2 linked regions of the Schizosaccharomyces pombe genome follow. The protein of the gene in region 2 interacts with the protein of the main gene of each other region in a biochemical or structural test. Each region holds a gene or a part of one and is shown on either strand. Other genes may lie near its edges.

Region 1 (3,757 bases), 1.6 Mb from region 2:
CCAAACTTCGCTCCAACGATTGCTTTTTGCCAATATAAATTGCATGAGTAGAAACGTGTCAATAGTCATGGGTATTCCATAACGGTTCATAATCCTTTCCAAAAGAAATATGCGGTTGTCGAGAAAGAAGTTTGACTCCCCTTTAACCATACAAGAGCATATCATAAATTTTAAAAAAAGTAGTTTTAGTGAAAATGAATCGATGGTTTTTAGATCGACTAAAGATTTATACATTAGTGAAAGATACAACATCCGCTCACTAACCAAATTTTTAGAGTGTTTAGAAGCCATACTCAACTTTGTTGGAGACAAAGCTATAGTACTGAAAAGCGTATTGATATCCTTTGTAGTCAGTTGCAAAGAAGAATCTTTTCGAAGTCGCTCAAAAATTGAAAGAGTAAAATCCAAAGAAAAATTATTAGGATTTTGGAGATGCATTTTCTTATATTTTTCCAAAGTACTCGTCAGATTTTGTGAATTGACGTTTAACAAGATATCCTGGGTATCGCAATAAAGGGATGCGGCACTTTTTAAAGAAAAGTTACAAGTATGGAAACTTCTCCGAAATACGTTCGAGTGGTTATTAATAAAATTTGGAGGTAAAGAATTATCAGGTGTAGATTTACTAGTGAGTGAGACCCTAGATTGTTTGCCATGTTCGAGATCAGAATACAAAGTTTCATCCTTAACATGTTCAATATTGTCCAGTTTATAGTATTCCCTAAAATTTTTTGTAATTACATGAATGCTTATGCCGAAGTTTTCGATACTGAGACATGTCCAATTATTTTCAGACGTGTTTAATTGTCGGTTTGACAAATTGGAACGTTTCCTCATTCTCCGTTCTAAAATTTTTCTCCGAGATGCACTAGTAAGGCCATCTACGTTCACCGGTCCAACGTTTTTTTGTTTTAAAAGGCGAAGTAAGCCATTAGTAGCGGATACAACTTCAGATCCACAGTTGCAAGAAGCTAGTAAAATAAGATCTGAATCACACCAAAAAGAATCGGCGGGTGAGTTAACAAAACTGAGATCAGTGGCATAATACTTCTTTTTAAGAAGGTTTAACACATCAGCTAAAAAGTTTGGAGCACCTTTTGGAATAGGTGGCAGCGCAACCGCATCGAAATGCGCTTTTTTAGGAAATAGATTATGTTTTTCATCCACATACCATGGTTTTTTGCTTGAGACTTCCTCTGGTTGCGAATTAGCGTCATTACTTGAATTATCAGGAACTAAATTTTCAGGAAACTTTTGAGAAGCGAAAGGTCGTTTGTCAAATTTGCTTCGAAAAAAGGAAACACATAGTTTGTTGAAACGTAGATAATTAAAGCGATATGTGGGCATTTTTTAATAAAATATGAAATCTCAGCACAGTCATTAAAAATATAAGAATTAATATAATTGAAGTGTTACCTTATAAAGCCGAAAAAAGAATTTCTCAATGCTGTTCTATCACAGTATAACATGAAGACATTGTCTTCTGTTTGAATAGTAATAGATAAAACTTAGATTAAAGCAACAAAAATATTTAGTATGTTTTAAAACAAGACCGCAAATTATTAGGAGAAAACCAAATATTTAATGACCTTGGCACGTTTTCCTAACCAAGAGACCGATTCTAAATAGTGTTCCACTGTAGAAATACGTAATCACCAATATCCGAAATGTACGAACGTTTCTTATGTCAGCAATACTACATTACGCTATGATACACTACGTTGCGTATCACTATATGTCACATGTTCTAATTATATATCGTACCATTTATGATACGATATGGAAATTAATCTTAATGATAATCTATTAAGATCTATATTATCTGAATACTATAAATAGAGCTACTGCTGAACTCGTTCCTCAGTTCAGTTATGAGCTATATTAGTGATAGGTAACATTATAACCCAGTTAATACAATACCTATACTCAGTTGCTACTTATACAACCTGTGTATTGTAATATAATAGATCACAAGGAAAACTCACCGCAGTTCTACGTATCCTTAAATCAGATACCAAACTGCGTAGCTTACATCTTAATTGCATTTTCCCGTTTCGGTCTATTGCCTTAAACTTGTTTACGCTTTATATATACCGACGTTTCTTTGTTTTTAGATGAATGAATTTAATGATAAATACTTCCCTTTCTTAGCTTTGCAATGTTTTGATGCTTTTCGAGATGACACCTGAAACCTTTAAAAAAGTTAACTCCTCTAATCGAATTATTAAAGGGCTTCAATACACACCATTAGCATCATCAATCCCATTGGAAAATGGTATGCATACAGTTTGAACGCGTCTATTAATTTACATAGGTTTACAAAACGTATTATATCCATCTTCTAAATTTCAAAATGAGCCATTGCAACTTAACTCCGAAGAATCAAGTATTATGCAAAGATATGTGGATATGCTAAATCCTGGCGCAACATTCGTTAACGATTCTGAAACCTTTAATTTTTATAAAAATGCTCTTAGCGCTATGATAACGGAACCTGCAATGCCCGCAATGTAAGTTAAATTTTTTGAGGTTTTTTATCTGACAAATATAAAGGAGGGTGAATGCCAGTCCGGTCCTAGACCAAAAGGTGTGTAACAGTGACTCGTTAAGTGAATTAAATGATTTTACAAAATCTCTGATTCAGCCAAGTATGTTGATGTGTGAACCCAAGGAGAAACCTGATGCTTCTTCTATAAATACAAACCGTTCATCTTCCGACAATGGCTTCTTAACTCCGTCTTCAAGTCCTCGAAGTCCATCATGTTCTCGCGTATTTAACGCTGTTCAATTATGTAGCCCTAAAAAATCTAAAGATGATATTACTACCCCAAAAAAGCGACTTATGGAAGACACTTATTCGCCTCGTGAATCTCCCTCAAAGATCCAGCGGTTGCAGGACGTTTTGTTAAAGCAGTTGCAAGATACCAGATTACTAATTTCTCAAGTTATAGAAGCTGAGAATTCGGAAGATTTTTCATCGAATTCTCTCTTTATTAAACGAGAAGACGATGATGGAAAACACATTTCATCGCACGCAATTGAAAAGCTATATATGGCATTAACCAAGCTTAGTCGTTTGGGAGCTTGTGACAAATTGCTGGAAGAAGGGAGTATAATACTTGTAAAACAAATCCTTGAGAAAGAGTTAAAAGAGCTTCCTGTCGCTTGTTACAGTATAATTAATCTTCATGACAGCCTCACACAATTTCCGAATTTAGACTTTATTTTAAAGACCACTGCTCTTGTTCTTTTTATAATATTTCTGGTCCCCTCCTTTAAAAAGCTTCAAAATGAAGAATCAATTCTTCATTTACTTAATATCTTACATTCCATATTTGAGTACACAGTTCCTGAAGCGATTGATAACATCGTTCAATCAAAAACTTCCGATGCTAGGACTTCTGAAATTCAACATCTATCAGTTTTGTTACAAAAAGTCGCAAATGTATTAAACATCTTATCTAAAGTTGCCCATGAAATTCCCTTGTCGGAAGCTGTGGTCATACGCATTGTATATTTATTTCCCAAAGTCTCTACACTCGACAATTCCTTCAAAACTAAACTTCCTAACTGTAACAGCTCATCCTTCGATTTTCTTAAAGCTCCTTTATTTCAAACGTTACAATATTTATTTCGTCTTTATCCTTATCAGCGAGATTTTATCATTGAAGAATCACTTACAAATTTTTCTCACTTGCCCACTGCTCGTTCGGTCTCAAGGACCTATAGACTCTCTAACGGTAAATCCATACAATAC
Region 2 (3,757 bases):
TAAAATTGTTATTACAGACAGTTTGGATTGAAGCAGAGAGAAGCTGTAAAAGAATAGATTCCTGAAAATCATTTAGCTTGCAGAAAGAAAGTATACTGTCTATCGGATCTTTTAGAGTCGAGGTATAATTATCAAAAAGTACGAAGTTGCTAATATCCTCCCATGACTGATAGATTGAATCAATTTCACATGCATTAAGTAAAGCTTGTGTTATAGGAGTAATGAAATTACCATTTTTTTGGAAGATTCGTAATAATGTATCATAATCAAAGCTCGATTGGTAAGACAATCTAACCTCCTCCAAAAGTTTACACATTTGGGAAAATTTTATCCAATGAACTGAAAATGTAGTAAGTGAAGTCTGAGAAAAGGCCTTTAGAATATAGTCTTCTTCACCCCATAAATCAATTTTTTCATTCACACTTTCGTCAACCACTTTGCATAAAAACAGTACGGCTTCACGTTGCACCCTTGGATTGATATCTAAAATTAGCTTCAGCACTTTTAAAATTTCAGAATTTTCTAAAAATCCGCAAGTCCTCATAGCGTTACACAAACGAATGCTGGCTACACGAACTCCAATATCGGCGTCCACACAACTCATCTCGAGTATTCTTTCTTTAAATCTAGAAGAAAAATGTCTTAATCCACCAATAAATGAATCTGTCTCAAAAAATTTGCGCAAAACTTTAACTACAGTTAATCTGACGGTAGTGTTTATGTCTGAAAGCATCCATCCTAGGTATCTTAAATAACTTCCTGAAAAAAATATGCTTGGAACAGTATTAATCCAGACCCCAAGCTCTTGTAAGCAATCTACCCTTATTTTAGGCTCCACGTCTCGATATCGATGGACGAAGACACTAATATAAAGGTTAGTATAAATAAATTAAAGCGTTTGAGGGATCTTTACCTATCAAAGTAGTCATTTAAGTATGTAGTCAATGTATCTTGTTGCTTGACTATTTCACCAAGACTGTTATTAAGTTCGTTGATGCGATTTCTATTTACACGAGAGCGCTTTTCTTCTTTCTCGAGCTGTTTGGTAGCAATTGCATGCTCGTTCAATAGTTCTTTAGATTTTTCACATAAAAAAGTCATAATATTCAAACAGAAAACAGTGGCGGTGTGCCGAATAGGTCTCATCGTAGAAGAAGACATGGCAACGACCCAAGACATAATATCTTCAAAAACAGTGCTATTGTACAAGTAATTTCTTATTGACAACTGTGACACAAAGTTGCTTAAAAGACCGGTCAATCTCTTTCTGAAATTCCTAAACTTAAGATTTTTTGAATTTAAAGGATAATCACGAGTAGAAGTCTTAAAGTTGTTAATATACAAATAAAGTATTTTCGCAAAAGCACTTACACGCTCTACAGAAAGTTGAATTTGAGATAGAGTAGCTGAAGCAGAATCTTGATCCTGAACATCAAACACATTAATGGCACGATTGCAACCACAGCACTAAAATATTTAGTAAAGAAAGAAAAGAATGACTCTACCTTTAAAATAAAGTTAATAAGATTTGCAAGGGCAGATTGATTATCTTTTGCATAGTCAGCAAACCACGAAACCGCGATGTCCATGGTATCAACTTTTTGGTCAAGCAGAAAAGCTTTTCAGTGTTAGTAGCTGAAAAAAAGAAGGACTTTATCATTACCAAATAAGTTGTTAAAAATTTCTTCTTGAGGATCCTCTTCAACTATAGCGTTCCTCCTAGAGCGTTTTACATTTACTCCTTTAGAATTTGGCCGTGGATGCCGTTTTTTTGAGCTTATCGTTTTCTCGTAATCATCATCGCTATTTTCTTCAGAAGATGAATTTGAACTACTGCTCATGGGATCAAAACTTTGAGAAAGCATTACAGGGGAAGATTCTCTGTCTCCTCCATCATCATCAGATCCAGTAGTAACAGACTCACTCATTTGAAGAAAAAAAGAAATAATTTATAAATAAATTAAGAGGTGTAATTAGAAATATTGGAAAGAGTGTAATGAATGCACTATTGGTGTTGTACAATGGAGGTTGTTCACAACCTGTAGTTGATAAAAGCACGAACTTGTCTTGTTCAATAGTGTTAGACAGGATAAATGTGTTTGAAAATCCAAGGATACGAAAGGAAATTTATACTTAACGAAGTTATTACATTAAAATTTTCTTTACCTTGATTGAAACAAATATATACTATTTTCTTTTGGGTCCTGCAAGGTGAACAGCTAACTTATATTCACTCCGCGAGTTGAGATTGTAATTTGACTATACAAGTATAGAATTGTGAGTGAAAGATTCTTTTGACGCGTAATATTTTCGATTATTATTAATAAATGAGATATTTGACAACTTTTCGAGCGCTCATTATATCATAGGCAGAAATACGAAAGTCATCCTTTATGAAAAATTAACAAGTAATTAGAAAACTTTTATCCTTTTTATTTATTCCTCAAGAATTTTAGGCTGTACCCATCTGTAATTGCAAATATGCTTAAACATGACTTTGAAATACGCGTTTTGTTACTTTAACATATTCTGGGTAACGTTTGGTGCATGTGATGGATCACGGACGCGTCGCGTTCACGCGTCACGAAAATCTAATATACTCACGCTACCATCCACTACTTAAATTAAACTGGAACACACGACCTCAAAAGCGGATTAAATTAAGATTCATGATTATACCATGAATATGGACATTGGAAAAGCTTTGAGTGATGTTGGTGGGCTTCGAGATATTACCTCACGTGCAAATAACTCATTACCTCCGACTCCTGATTCTTCTCCCGCAGCACCTTCCAAAAAACATAAGCTTTACGACTTCCTAGAAAGCCGAGGAAAAATTGAAACACCTCGAAAACGCATTGTGTTTGAAAAGAAACCCCTGTTACACAAGCCAGTTCATATTCAAAAAAAACCTGCTCAACTTTGTAAAGAACTTTTAATCAGACAACTGGGAGGTTCCCGGTCGCACCCTTTTAGCACAAAAACTTCTCGTCATGTGGGAGGTAGACTCAATCTCGAAACATATTACTCACGACCTTCGGAATGCTTAATGATGCTGAACCAACTCCCGTTCTGTCTTGGATTTGCTAATAACGAGTCTTTATTGGCCGTATGTACTGAGACTGGAGCTCTTGAGCTGTTTGATTCTCGATTTTACGATAGACAGAATGAGGAAAATCAGCCGTCTGCTCGAAGAATCCATGGCTGGCTTGCTCACAACAATGCTATATTTAGTGTTAATTTCTCTAAAGATGATTCATTATTAGCTACTTCATCTGGCGATCAAACATCAAAGGTATTTGATTTGTCAACGCAACAATGCATCACTCGATTGGGACGACGAGGTGTCGATGGATACCACTCTCATTCAGTAAAGCAGGTTAATTTTTGCAATGATTCTCCTTATAATTTGGTAAGTTGTTCTCGGGATGGTTCCATTATCTTTTGGGATATGCGAACACACGGGATAACAATTGACGGTGAGCATTTTCAGAAACCAGTGTTAAGGATAAGAAAAGCACATGAAAATTCGGGAAGGGATTGCTCAATTACCTCAGCTACGTGGCTCCCTCAATCTACTTCGCAAGTTATATCGTCCTGCTCTGCAAACTCGGCCTTAAAGTTATGGGATTTACGAACTGTACATACCGTCCGACCTTTACCTGCTGCTACTACTCCCGAATTAACTACTTCAAAACGCGATTTTGGTGTTACTAATGTTTGTACTTCTCCTGACGGTGAGCGTATTTATGCTGCT

The links.
Region 1: the proteins of psc3 (region 2) and mis4 form a complex in vitro, tested with the Schizosaccharomyces pombe proteins (one study listed by BioGRID).

What each region holds. Positions count from the first base shown.
Region 1 is NC_003424.3:395,299-399,055, reverse strand, and holds the start of mis4 (adherin Mis4), read left to right. Parts: upstream 1-2,116; 5' UTR 2,117-2,166; coding exon 2,167-2,275; exon of another isoform or gene 2,276-2,314; coding exon 2,315-2,510; intron 2,511-2,553; coding exon 2,554-3,757. Other genes in the region: ATP synthase complex assembly protein atp25, read right to left, coding at 1-1,347. UniProt on the Schizosaccharomyces pombe protein: Plays a structural role in chromatin. Chromatid cohesion molecule required for equal sister chromatid separation in anaphase. May form a stable link between chromatids in S phase that is split rather than removed in anaphase.
Region 2 is NC_003424.3:2,034,574-2,038,330, reverse strand, and holds the start of psc3 (mitotic cohesin complex non-SMC subunit Psc3), read right to left. Parts: upstream 2,037-3,757; 5' UTR 1,929-2,036; coding exon 1,664-1,928; intron 1,619-1,663; coding exon 1,506-1,618; intron 1,468-1,505; coding exon 1,372-1,467; intron 1,324-1,371; coding exon 914-1,323; intron 864-913; coding exon 1-863. Other genes in the region: WD repeat protein Cdt2, read left to right, coding at 2,681-3,757.